Oreochromis niloticus: one gene and its partner. The protein of the gene in region 2 interacts with the protein of the main gene of each other region in a pairwise test. Links are inferred from orthologs where the notes say so. Each region holds a gene or a part of one and is shown on either strand. Other genes may lie near its edges.

Region 1 (7,433 bases), on a different chromosome or scaffold from region 2:
AATACCTTCATCGATGACGTGTTTGCCTTCATCATCACCATGCCAACGTCTCACAGACTGGCCTGTTTCAGAGATGATGTGGTGTTTCTCATCTACCTTTACCAGAGATGGTATATACACACGACATTACACGTAGCACATTTGTTAAAAACATGCACATTTTTTCAGAGTTAAAACTCTCCGTTTCCTTCACCAGGCTCTACCCAGTGGACAAAACAAGAGTAAATGAATATGGAGTGTCGTACGATGAAAACCCCAAAGAGAAGAGTCACTAGACTCGGAGGAATTTGCTTTCATGATCTGGAATCTGTGGGTATTTGTCTTATTTCCACTGGTGTCCACTCATCTTTATCAACTGGACTGAGTTTAATGGTCAGGGGGAAATGTTTGTTGTATATGTTCCAGGTGCATAAATGTGCTCACGGTTCTGACTTTTTCCACCCTGTTAAAAGAGCAACATCATCTTCTGCTTCGTCTGACAGTCTGACGAAGCCTTCTTGTTTTGTTTTTTTTTTGGGGGGGGGGGGGGGGGGGGGATTTTTTTTTTTTTTTACAGTGTGTGTGATGGGACACAGTGACGAGCTACATCTCTGGCCCTTTCAGACTGACATAACAGCCTGCAAATATACACTTACAATGTAATTGGTGTGAACTGCTTGCAATCGTTTTTTTTATTTTTCATGTTTTTTCCAGAGATTTAAATGCACAAAGGAATCTTTATAATTCTTAACAATGCTACGCTCGTGTTTTGAAAAAGTTGATTCAGCCTGCTCTGACAGCTGGCAGATGTAGTTTATCTACGAGCTGCAGAGAAAGAGCTGCTTTGCTCATCTGAGAGCTTTATTCACTAAGAAGACCTTATCCAGTGGCTTGTTGTATACCTACCAGATAAGACAGCCTTCAAGTAAAATCAAGATAGCTGTGTGACGGCAGGGATACAAAGACTGTGCTGTGACAAAAAAGGGGGGAGTGTGGCAAAGGTGAAGCATTCTAACTGATGTTTCAGGCAGCTCAATAATATTGTTCCAGACAGTCTCAGAAAAATCAGGCTGTAGTCATAATTGCAGCTTTTGTGCTTAAGTGGCCACTATTTCTAAATTGGTAGCTGGTGTTTATGGTAATTGGAATAAAATATGAAAGCTGCAATAAGCAAAGGTAAGCCATACAGAAACTAAAAAGGATGTATTGTTAGCTCTTTTGAATATGTAAATTATCAGAAATTATGTTCATTCTTTTTAAGCATTTCTCAATAACTTGGCAATCTGGCTCTTAAAAAAAAAAAAAATTGTACAAAATTATATCCAAAATGATCACGTGCATACAGTTGACATTTGTTAGTTCTGTGACAAAGAACGGTCATGTTTAACGCTACAGTCACACTAGGGAAAACAGTAGTTGGAGGCCACGGCACGACCAAAACCATTCTGCCTGTGTGCTATAAACTTGTAAGTCAAAGTGACTTTAGTGCAAGACGGCGATGAAATGGCAGTAAGGACAATAAGTCAGTCTGCTATCAGTTTGCAACTGAATAGGATCCAGTTGGCAATTACATGCAATCTGCTTGTGAGGAGATGTGGGCAAAAACTACAAATCTGTTGACATGTGTTATAAATCTGTTGCTGTCTACACAAACACAAATTCACATTAAACCCTAGCCGAGTCCGGCAAGTGTTTCCATAGATTTAAAATAGGAATTCCTCCACGAATAGTGATGTAGTTGATGTAAAGTATTTACATTTTTGTTGTCTTTTTTTTCCTCCTAGTTACAAGGAAGTCACTGTCCTGCTTTTGCTCTAGTGTGACTGAGTTGTAAAGAGAACCTGTTATGCTCGTTTTTTATTACGCACTCTGTTATGATGTAAATGTTCATAATAAGAGATAATTAGACAAACACATTTGAATGTAATCTCTAAATGGGAGAAACGAAACACCAAAAGCAAAACAAAACGGTTTACAGTACTTTGTTCTACTTCCTTATTAATATGATGATATCAGCTTATCAAGGAGATATGCAGACCTATATACATAAATTGACGGTGATTAAGTTTGCTTCCAGTAGCTTACTTTTGCTTCCGCAAAGCAAACAAAGTTGCCAAAAAAATAAAAAAATAAAATAAAACGGTATGCATGACAGAGAGGCCAGCCTTAAAGAGAGAGCAGCTTAAATAGCTTATTTCGCACAATGTAAAATTTCATATCGACATAATGAGTATGCTTTTAAAGTGAGAATAAACTGTAACATTTGGGGGCAAAATCAAAGAAAATGGGATTTAAAACGTAAACGTTTAGAAATCCAAATTTGAAAAGTGATGCACTTGAATGCATCACTTTTCAGTTCTGCTAAGAAGCACGGATTGTTACACAATTCTGTTTATTTGCCAGTAGATGGCAGGAGAATTTCACTAGAGGCAGAGGAGAAAGTTGTGATCTGTTGCCATGGAGAGAAGATTAATTGCCCGAGACATTCCAGAATCTTAAGCTTGAAAGTTCCAGAATCTGTGAAGTTGCATTCTGTCTGTTTTGTGTCTCTATAAAATGGTACTGACAGTTTCATTGTACCACACTCTGTATCACTGACAGTCCTACTGTCTTTTCCATCCATTTTTTTTCTTCTTCCTTTTTTTTTCTTCTTTTTTTTACATAACTGGGCCAAGAAAATCTGCTAGTGCCAAATGTGAGAATGAATAATGTTACCATTGTACGTTCACAATAGATGGTACATCGGATCTTTTGAATAAACACTGACATTGTGAGAGAGATGATGACGGAAATGTTTAAACAAAGTATTATTACACTGGGTTTATGCAGTCAAAATTTGATTTATTTGCCATAGTTTGGGGGTTTTTTAAGACTTTAATTGAAATAATGTACTTAATTTTCAGATATCATGATATATTAGGTCTGTATACAAAGGTTCTGCACAGGATTTATGTTCCTTAATAATAGAGTTGGCAGAGATTTGCCTTTAAATTGTTTTAGTTATTGTAATGTTTGTGTTTTTGATTGAGATGAAATTAAAAAATAACTGACAAAATGTTACGTGTATTTGGCATGTTACTATTGCTGGGGTCAACTGTTCAGTGGAAATCTTAGAAATGTTGCTCAGAGATAACCTGAGTAATGCAGAGATGATTTCATTTGTTAAGGGAAAAAGCTAGCGAAACCTACATGGCGCGATGTGAAAAAGTAATTCCCCACACACACACACACACACACACACACACACACACACACACACACACACACACACACACACACACACACACACACTTGTTAAATCGTGCAATGACTTTGGTTAGATAACCGAGGCCTAATTACTACCAGATCTGTTGGATCAAGAAATGACTTGAACAGAATCTGTCTGACAGTGACGTAGGCATTAAATCATGTCACGATCTAAAGAAACTCAAGAACAGCAGAGAACAAAAGTTGGACATCAGTCTTACTAAGCCATTTCTAAAGCTTTGGGACTCCAGTGTACCACACTGAGAGCTTTTATCCACAAATGGAGGAAACTTGGAACAGTGGTGAACCCTCCCAGCAGTGGCCGTCCTACCAAAATGACTTAAAGATCACATCCAGAGAGAAAAAAAACCTAATGAACTGCTGGCCTCACTTGCACAATTAAGGTCAGAGTTCATAATTCAACAGTAACAAAAGAGACTTGGCAAAAATGGCATCCATGAGGGGGTTCCAAGGTACAAACCACTGTTGATGAAAAAAGAACAGAGTATCATTCACATTTGGCAAAAAAACATCTTGATGATTCTAAGATCTTGGGGAAAATATTCTGTAGACTGATATGAGAAGTCTTTGTGGAAGCTTTCAGAACCACTACACCTGTCATAAAACTAACACAGCTTTTCTGAAAAATGGCATACCAGTCGTGAAACATGTTAGTGGTAGTATGATGATCTGGGGCTGCTTTGTTGCTTCAGGACCAGGACAACTTGCTGTAATTGATGCAAAATGTCCAGCCATTGATTCATGGCCTAAAGCTCACTCACACACACACACACACACCAAGATGATTATCCAAAACACAACAGCAAGTTCACTTCTGAAAAAACAAGCAGTCTAGTCAAACGTCCAGACATAAATACAACAAGGGGGATGCTTTGGCATGACCTTAAACAGGCCATTCATGCTTGAAAAACATGTCATATTCAAAACTAGGGTGGCACTGGGGGATGACAGGAGATTATTTTAGAGTGGCACATGCCACCCCATGCCCCCCCCCCCCCGTGGATCTCCCCCTGCTTAAATCAGTCATATGACTTGGATGTGCCATCGACCCCAGAGGTTTAATAACACTCACCTTCATTCCAGACTCTCACAATCAACCACCTGTGATGAAATCTGAAATACCCATGGTGTTGATTCAACATGTGCTCTGGCACAACTATAGGGTGGCACTAGAGGTTGCAGGAGATTATTTTAGGGTGGCACATGCCACCCCATGCCACCCATGATCTAACAATCCCAGATCATGGGTGGCATTGAATATTTGTCACCCATGCATGTGACAAATATTCCAAAAACTAAATCACTCACACACTGATGTTTCATCTTATGTAGACTGGTAGGAATATACCAGGACTAGATACAAGATATTTTTTGAACTGTTTTATGTATAATATTTACCAGCGATGTATTACCATTCTAAAAAGAAAATAAACTCCTCTGAGCATAAAGCTATCGTACGTTTTGTGCGTCGTGACGTCAGAACCACGCTCCCTGACGCAGAGTATATCTACTAAACTCCCGCCTTCGTCCCTCCCTTTTCTGCTATAGAAATTTAACGTGCCTGAGGTGTTTGGTTCTTCACGAGAAGCTAAGGCCCGCAATCCGGCGACTAGCACCGTCAATTTTAGGCATCTGACCCTACGAACATTAAATCTAACATCTACAATGGCCTCCGTATCCGAGCTCGCCTGTATTTACTCCGCTCTGATCCTCCACGACGATGAAGTTACCGTCACCGTAAGTGTACTAGGTCCTAGGTTACCCCGGATATTTCAGCCAATATGTCTGAGTTGGGCGTTCTTGAACATTTTTTTGTTGGGCTAAAAAGCCTAAAATACTAAAAACGTGACATTAAAAGCTACAGATAGATAAACCAGTATGTTAATATATCAGGTAAACGCCAGTTATGTCCGTGTACCGGCTAAAATGGCGTCATGCTAGTTGCTATTCCTAGGCCACGTTTTTCTAGCTGGACAGCTCAGTCTTGTGTTCTTACTCTGAATGCTGATGTTTGACCTGTACAGCACGTGTGTGTTTGTTTTAACCGTCAGTGTAGCCTTAAACATCTCTGCTGACAGGTCTGGATGTGGTGTTCACTGACAGACTGTGTGGTCAGACTCAACAAGAGCACAACATACCTTTATTTTTTTTAGTGTTGGCATCACCGATCAAAGTTGTTTTTGTTAGAGCTTGTTGCATTGAAACACCTAAAGGATAGCAAACCTGATTCGGCATCCCTTCTTGTTACTTGCCACTTGTTATACTTACTGTTAGTCTGTTAACTGGTAATCCATGTTGAAGTGTTGCGTGGTGTCCTCAAATATATTTAGTTCCCTAAGATTTTGATTATTTCACGCACATTGTCTTTACCTGAGAAAGTGGAATGAGGACATGTGTCACAGATAATTTTTAATTATATTTTTTCTCACTGAAAGTGTTTGCTTCAACACATTGTAGACCATCAGTTTCCGTGTCATCGCTCATATTTTAGCAAAAAGTGTTCCCAAAAGTGGTCAGTATGTGAAGTAGAGTTAAATAACGGTGGCTGTTATGTTATTTATTTGTTTGTCCACAGGAGGACAAGCTGAATGCCCTGATCAAGGCTGCTGGAGTCACTGTGGAGCCTTTCTGGCCAAGTCTGTTCGCCAAGGTGAGAGAACACACTTCTGAAATCATATCACCGAATAGATCTGAAGATCTGACAGTTTTTATGTATCCCAATAACTCTTATAAACAATACAAATGTAAGTGGCTGTAAAGGAGACTTACTGATTGTGTGTGCTGTAGTGAAACAGACCTGTTCATTGCTTTCTGTGTGATTTAATGGTCTGTATTTACATTCAAATTTCTTTTTAAAAAAGTTATGTCAGGCTGAAAGCATTAATATTGTTCCTGTTGTTGCCAGTATGAGCAAACACATGAATTTGGAATAAATGTCTTGATGCAACAGTGCTGCCACTTAGAGAAAGTGGAATGAATGAGCAGGACACAAATTACTAAAATTTAAAAAAAAGAAAAAACATACTACACTTGCTGTAAAGAGTCTTTAGGCATGGTAGGTAGGAGTTATGCTTGATGTCTTGCCTTTTTAAATACATCGATCTCTGTAACACCCGCTGGACATGTGAATAAAGTGACGTAACCTGTGAATTTTCTTTGCGTAGGCTCTGTCCAGCATCGACATCGGCAGTCTGATCTGCAATGTTGGAGCCGGCGGTGGAGCCCCCGCTGGAGTCGCTGCTGCTGCTGGTGGTACTACCGCTGCTGGTGACGCCCCAGGTAACTAAACAAAGCATTTCCCAGCGCTACATTTGTAGTTACATAACAGTAATATGAATGCATTCTCGGGCTATACCACTTTAGTTTCTCCTTCAAGTTCAGATTTCATGTACCTCAGAAATCAAATTGACTTTTTTCTTTTCTTCTGAATTTAGTTTGTGTAGTCATCTTTGACTTATAACTACGTCTTGTTTTCCCTCTACAGCCAAGGAGGAGGAGAAGAAGGAGGAGAAGAAGGAAGAGTCCGAGGAGTCAGACGACGACATGGGCTTTGGTCTCTTTGACTAAAACAGCTGTTTTTTATATAAAAACACAATAAAAGTATAAAAAATGACTCGTCTTTTGTTTTTGTTTGTTTTTTATGTACAGTAATTCTGCACTTACAATTTAAATCTGCATCATTTGTCAGCACATTAACCTAAATTGACATTTTAGGCAGTAGATTTGTAGTGACTTCACTTCCCTGGACATGAGAGAAATTATATTTTAGCACATTCAGCTTAGGCGTTGAACCTAATGCCATGGCAAGCTGTGTGCTGATAATTCACAAAAAACTGCAACTACCGAACTCTTGTTCAGAGTTTGGTAAAAGCTGAATACAATGATCATCCAAATTATACTCAAGATTCGACTTTTCTCAATTACTTTCAATTCTCATTTTGAAAGTAGACACTCATTTGAAAGTACAGCCATGTGATAAAATATGTTTCTGCATAGTGCGATGATCTGGAGTAAACTTTTAGGACATGGGCAGCAGCTTGTCTTGAAAATACAGTTTGATAACTTGGGTTAATGTAGATTTATTACTGATCAATGGTCACCTTAAGTCAGAACTTTAGACTGTGGAGATGGCTTTTAATACAATTTAGAAGATGATGTCAATACCCTGAATAAACAATGACCTCTAT
Region 2 (7,286 bases):
CAGCTCTGACATTCATGTAACACAAGACTACTGGGCAACACTTCAACACTTGGGAAGAGGATGTACAGCTGAGACTTCGTTACCAGTTATGCAATGCGTCTTCAGGTTGCAGGGTCAGGGTGCATCTCCATAATACAAGGATAAGCAAAGATAGTGAACAGTCTAACAAAGAAACCCTCTGTAAATTTTGGCTTGCTACTGCATGCCTTGTCTTCACTCTCATCCCTGGAGAGACTCCAAACCAATAAGCATAAGCAATCACTCATATGGTAATCAGAACAGGCTCACCAGGATTAGGATATGTCCTGTTACACCATCGTCCAATAAGAGGCTTAGAAAGCCAATGTAGTTGGTGATGTGTCAAGCAGCACAAAGTTTCTGAATGTTGCCTTTTAGCACATAAGGAGCCTGAGCAGTGATGTGACATTGCTTTTGACCCTGTGGAAATTTGCTGGCAGGCCTCAGTGTCCTGCAACCACCAAAGCTACCAATCAGCAGGAGCCAGGATAAGGGATGATATCAGCATCCATCAGTGTGATGGATCACACAGAGAGGATAGGCTTTATAAGGTCAGCGGCCCACTAGGAGCCAACTGCCGGGTGAGATTCAGTGTCTTATGTGCCCTGTGTCCGTTCTGATCAAAATATCCAAAGGATGAACAGCATGCAGAGTGGAAGAATACCTGATTTAACAAACAGGCGTAAGCAGTATAAGTAGAATATTGATTTCCAATTAGCTTCAGAACCGTTTACTAATTACTACCCATCCACCCCAATACAGAACAACAAAAACAACATGTTGTGTCCTCCAAGCTGCCCTTGTAATGTGACCACTACTGTATACTAATATATATAGCTACGAGAAAACGTACAAACAATAAAACTCAATTGTTGTCATTTTCTGCGTTTGTGTGACTTGACTGTACTGCAGTCAAACTACTGTGCAGCCAGTGTTCAATCTCTGTGTGACCTCCTTTGACACCTAAAGACTGCTTTGTAACATGATGCTATGATACAGCTTACATGTTGCTAGGCTCTCTCTCTCTTACAGTCCATGCAAACAGGATGACTACATTGACAAAATGGATTTTGAGAACAAGGTATCAGGCTCAGTGTTAAATACAGACACGAGTTAACAGAATTGTAATACAATACATCTTATGAGTCTATAGTCAAACAAATTTGCCACACTTTCTGAGAATTATATTTCCAGCTACTGACATTTCTGAAAAAGATCATGTTAAGGTTCCCAGTACGCAGTGTACATAGAGACAACATCTGTCACTTGGAAAACCAAAGAGAAAAGGCCATCATGCTACAGGCTTAAATAAGATATAACAATATTGAGTGACACAACTGACCTCTTCACACACTTCTCGAGCTGCTGCAACATTGGGCTCCTCTTCGGGCTCCATTCCCCCTCCAGGAACTATCCACTTGTCAGGATGTCGACTACTGCTCACCAGTAGCACCTGCAAAACACCCCATATAATACTGGTCAGGTATGACAGTCCAACTCTGAGTTACTGTTCACATAATATCAACTGGGACATCGAAAAATACAACTTCAAGAAAAATGGAAATGATAACCCATTGGGTTTAAAATAACTAGTACTTTTATTACTGTCAATAAATCATAGCTAGTGAACTAGTTTAGATGTTGGGTTCTTAGTGGAGATGAACTGTGGAACGCCTAGGTGTCAGTCAGATAAACTACAGTCTTAGGTAAAAGTTTCCACTTTGGTGCTGGTAATGCTGATACGTTTCCTGTAATCAACAACCCGTGTCTACACAGTCTGGCCTTTACTTTAAGCAAAATGGGGAATTGGTTTGGTCCCATCTCCTCCCCTAGTAAAATGTTTTAAGTACAAAGGCATCTTTGTGTCTCCTTTTGACTGTACGTGAGCGTCCTAAATCGTGACTGAGCTCAAGTAATCCACAACACGTTTTCGCTTTTTCTGATACGGCTAGATAGGAGCGATAAATACACAAATAGCAACATTAATAAGCGATGTTGTAAAATGTGCACACGGGGCTCGACGCTCCCATTAAGCTGGTGCTCCAAATATCAACAGTGTCAATTTCGCAAACAAACTAATCAAAATACACAAGTGATACAAGCAAGCCGGCTATCACTGCCAGAGTCATCTTCTGGCTTAAACTAGGATAGCTACTAGCTACATAGCAGTACAATGTTTGGCTAGTTGCATTAACACAATACACTTAGCTCGCCAAACTATCTGTAACGCGAGCAGATACATATCTTAGCTGTCGCTTTAAATACTAAATATTCTCTGTCCATCCGACAGCTGGTAGTAATAGAGTCAGCACTCACCACAGCCTGTACTGTGGGCTGTGGTTCCTGGCCGATAGCCGGCTGCCCACGGCAGCAACCCGGGTAGTTAGCAAGCTAACGTTAGCATTAGCGCGGAGCTAGTAAGTCTGATCATAACCGAGGCTGCTATCTGCACTGCTAAAGAGGCTTACATAACACTCGGGTAAGTACCAGCTGAAAAATAGTGAATAATCATAACGTCGGGAGTCGACACGAGAATAAAAGAAATCCTTTTCCAGCTGGGATAAAACCAAAGCCGTGTTGATAAACGTGTCGATCTACATACAACAGAAAAGGCTGGATAAAACCTACGGATGCTAATATTAGCTTGGCCCGCCAGACAGTTCACATCACCGAACTCACCTCCTCCTCGCTCTCGCTCCTGAAGCACAGGCAAGCGGCCCGCTTCTTGTAGCCATCCCCGTCGTACGTCCGGGTTTGGTTTGACTTGAGCTTCATCATTTCGGGAGCGTAAAAGTTCAAAAGTACAGCTATGTTTGCCACTTATAAAGACGATGGTTGTAGACGCAAAGTCCTCCTGCGGGGAACCTCGGCGTTTTACTTAAAAGAAATAACTTCTTCTTCGCTTCATTTTCACAAACCTGGGAACATCTACGGCACGGTCGCCATTACAAGGAGCCGCTACGCCCACGACGTAGTTTAACCATTAATAGCTTGGCGAGCGTAAGAAATTTACCTATCAGGGGTTGAAGAATTAGGGCAACGAAGCGTGGGGGGAAACGCAGCACCACGCTCTGACTGGAGTGAGCCGGTAAAGGGAACTGGCACGTTAGGCTCCAACTAGATGGCCCGGTCTGCTTATCTGATGCCGATATTAATTTATATGACTTTTTATTTGGGGAAACATCGTATTTAGCGTAATCAAATTAGTTTGCTGCTCACATTAGAAAAAGACACACCAGGTTAATTCATCAGTTTCAGCACCGCAGGTAATGGACAGCGCAGGAATGGCCCTCAAAATAGATCCGACAATGTAAGCATATAATGTGAGAAAAGCGGTTTTTAGGCAAACACAAAATTCAAGTAAGGCATCAAATGTATTTTTGTCAAATCCTAATGTACTTCAAATGGAAAATAGCTGCAAAAATACCTAAATAATAGAAATGGTTAATCAATTATAAAGAGTAAAACTGGATTGACCTATAATAAAAATATCTTTTAATTAAGGTGGATAGTCTACTATCATGTTGATTTTCAACCTTGTTATCTCTACATGGGAGTTTTAGTATTTAATTGCTCAGATGCTTGTGAAAACACATTTTCCAATAATAATTATAAACTATAATTACACACTGTAATGGCTTTGGGTCTCTCTAGACTTTTTTATACAGGTTAAAAAAATACATTTGAAAGTGCTCCACTAATCTTCTTTTATTCTTCATCTAGTACTATCTAATGCCCCATATCTGCAGAGCAGGCTGTGGCTCTAACAGTGCATGCTAAATCAACATAGAAGCAAATAGCGTATCGATCAGAAAGAACACCCTTGTGCCCTCAGTTAGATCACAAAGACATTTCTGAATCTTTATCTTTGCTTTCCAGGAAAGGTTGACCAAAGTCTGAATCTTATCAGGGTTTTCTGCATTGTTATAACTTGGATAAGACATATAAATATCTCTCTTTTTTGCTTGCCAAAGTCTACCAACAATGCAGAAGTCTATTTCATTGATGTCTTCTAATATTTGGAAAAGAAATGTAGCTTTTTCAGTCTCGTTTAACATCTGTTTTAACTGTTTACATGAGATTTGATTGAACCAAAACTGGAACCTTTCATGTAAACTAAATTCTAAAAGAATTTAGGAAAGCAGAGCTTTAAACAGCATTGGATGGTCTGGGCTTGTCGATGTTGCTAAAAAAAGCACTTTGCTCTGCATTTGCATTATTATAAATGAATAAACAGTGAGTCACAGTCTTACAAACCTGTTCAGGTCCCTAAATAATCAGTTTAATCTCATTATTGCAGCGACTTAATTGTGGGAACTCAAAATTGAATTTTAAATTGAATTTGTTACATAAACTCACCAACCACACAACAAAACCCTGTCCTTAACAACGGAGGATGAATCTGATGTAACTGCAGTGTGAAGGAGTGGGCCACAGCAAACAATAAAACAAAAATGCTTTATTGTTGAATGTCTCAATTTCACACACAAACCCAAAAAACACGGACATGAATCTCAGCTGTCATACAAGCAAACAAGTTCATTTACAGTATTTTAATGATGTGTGTAAAGAAAAAACAAGAAACCACCACCACAAAACCCCCCACAAAAAACAGTTCAAACAGTTCAAAGTTCATGGAATAATAAAGAGCAGTTAAGCGGACATGAATGAAAACTCTTTAGTGTCAGTTGAAATGTTTTCTGTGTGAAAAATTGGGGCAGGGATAGCTCAGTAGGTAGCATGGCCGCCCCCCCACTGGACAGCTACCCTGAGGTACCCCTGAGCAAGTTACCGTCCCTACACACTGCTTCCCGGGCGCCCCATTAGTGGCTGCCCACTGCTTCACTGAGTGAATGGGTTAAATGCAGAGAGAGTAATTTCCCCACGGGGATCAATAAAGTATACATTATTATTATTATTATTATTATTAAATTAGTCAGGTCTGCAAATACAAACAATAAACCAAACCAGAAAAGAAAAAAAGGGGCAAATATTGAAGTTATTTTAAGCTGACTGGCACATCATGATTTCCACCAAACTCACACAAATCCTCAGCATGCTGATTTCTTACAAAAAGCTCTTATTCAAGTCTTTTCTATTGATTGTTCAAGTTCTCATTTCATTGCTTTTGTCATAGCTGCAATAACTCAATTTCCTACCAGTAATCAAAGCAACGCAATTTCTCCTTATTCGATTCACTTACTTCTCAGTTTTCTACCCACAGATGTTGACATTTGAAGTGGCTCTTACCTTCTTCTCAGCACATCTCAGATTGCTCTTCATTAAAGGGCAAGTCTTGCTTCGATGACATAATCAAGGAGAGAAACAAACACAAACAAAGCTAATCAAAAACTAATATGAAATTATGGTATTGAATCTCTATAAAATAAGAATAACTCAGGCTTATCGCTTACATTTTTATACATCTACGGTAATTATTTGAAAATATGTAACACTGAGCAAGGACGCCTTTTAAAAGGTTTAAACATGGAAATACATTAGGCTGTGAGGAGGAGACTATAACTAAGTGACAGGTTGCTTGTATTTTGGACCCATTCGTCCATTTCTTCCACTTATCAAATTAAGGGTTGCCACAGGGCTGGAGCATTTATTAAACCCTCATAGGCTGAGAGACCCTGCACAAATTGCCAGTCTGTTGCAGGACTAACACACAGAGACAGACAGTTCATCTTCACAACCCTAACCCTTTACATCTATAGCCAATTTAGAATCTCCTAACCCGAAATATGTCTTTGGACTATGGGAGCTCATGCAAACACCGGAAGAAGATGCAAACTTCACAGACAAAGGCCCAAACCTGGATTCAAACCAGAACCTAATTGCTGTGTGGGTGACAGTGCTAGCCATCAGACCACCATGCCACCTATATTTGGTCCTACTTGTATCATATTTTTATTTAAACACATCCCCGATTAATTATTGGGGAAAAAAGTGAAAAGCTTGAGTCCCCTTAAAGTGAAACTAATTGTACGGCACAGTAGGTGTTCATAATATTGTGTCCACCACCTCCTGTGTGTAGCTATTAAAATACATTACTAGATGCAGGAAAGAAAAATGTAATTAGATGTGTTTCCCCGGGCTAATGTAAATTATGCGACATTAACATATAAATGTAATTAAAATAAAATAACAATTAAAAAAAGTGTTTTCTAGGAGCAGGAGTTGGGTCAACACATTCTCAGTTGTTGAGAAAAGGCTTCATGATACTGTAATTATGCACATTCAGCATCACCACAGCATTATTGTTGACTACTAGCAGATGATTTTCAGTGTGCAAGGAAAACACACAGACGTGTGGGGCCACAGAATTTTTTGTTTGTTGTAGATTTTTTTTCTCTACAAAAATCTATATTATATCAGACTTGTCTGCAAGACTGACTAATCTCTTTATTTCTTTATCAACTTTAACAACCCAGAAAATGTATGACACCAAGCGACAGGTGAAGTTTTGATGGTTTCAATTGATGATTTTTCTCAGTGAATCAAGTTTCGGGTTTCAGCTATGTTGATTTCACTTTCTCCAAGCACCTGCCAACTTCCAAGGAATCCATAAGATTTATGAACCCAACAGAAAATAAACAACACATGTTGCAAAGACATTTGAAATTCATCAGGGTCACAGTTGTTTGCACAGAATGAAATATATAGTTTCTATGCTGCCTCTCTCTCTCTCTTCAGGATGAGGAAAGCAGGTCTTACACAATTAAACATATCTGTGTAGGGTCACACTCAAGAGGCTGCACTATTACGATCTGCTGTTGCTACGGCAACCAATTCTCTTTGGAAGTCTCTGATGAACCATTCACACATAGGGGCGGTGTTACAGTTTCTGCCCTGTCCAGAAGAGGGCGCTCACCTCTTGCAGTACTGCAGCATTTCTTTTTAAATTAATTAATTAATTTTTTTAAAAATCGTTCATAAGGGACCTCTTATTCCTAGACCATATGATCTGATCCATGCGTATTTTAAGGAGGAATTCTTACTATGTTCCTTTCCCCCCTTTTTCCATTTTGAAATATATATCTTTTTTTTTTTGTTTGAATTTTCATGAAAGGAAACATGACTTTGATGTTTATCTTCTACGTTGTGTCACTGGTAGCATATGTGTGCTTAAATTAAAAGTGACAGATATTGAAAATCAAAACCTAACAAGTGATGAACTCCAAATCATGGATATTAATTATGATTTGAAAATGATGAAAACTAATCAGAGTTAAGGCATATTAAAGCACACTATATTAAAAAAG

What was found.
Region 1: the proteins of nudt3b (region 2) and rplp1 interact in a two-hybrid assay, tested with the Homo sapiens proteins (2 studies listed by BioGRID and IntAct). The link is inferred for Oreochromis niloticus from reciprocal best matches to the Homo sapiens genes NUDT3 and RPLP1.

Annotation. Positions count from the first base shown.
Region 1 is NC_031985.2:18,528,097-18,535,529, reverse strand, and holds rplp1 (large ribosomal subunit protein P1), read left to right. Parts: upstream 1-4,763; 5' UTR 4,764-4,911; coding exon 4,912-4,983; intron 4,984-5,821; coding exon 5,822-5,896; intron 5,897-6,410; coding exon 6,411-6,525; intron 6,526-6,730; coding exon 6,731-6,813; 3' UTR 6,814-6,859; downstream 6,860-7,433. Other genes in the region: lipid scramblase CLPTM1L, read left to right, coding at 1-110, 197-275. UniProt on the Homo sapiens protein: Plays an important role in the elongation step of protein synthesis.
Region 2 is NC_031970.2:9,791,274-9,798,559, reverse strand, and holds the start of nudt3b (diphosphoinositol polyphosphate phosphohydrolase 1), read right to left. Parts: upstream 3,080-7,286; 5' UTR 2,797-3,079; coding exon 2,698-2,796; intron 1,472-2,697; coding exon 1,361-1,471; intron 1-1,360. UniProt on the Homo sapiens protein: Cleaves a beta-phosphate from the diphosphate groups in PP-InsP5 (diphosphoinositol pentakisphosphate) and [PP]2-InsP4 (bisdiphosphoinositol tetrakisphosphate), suggesting that it may play a role in signal transduction.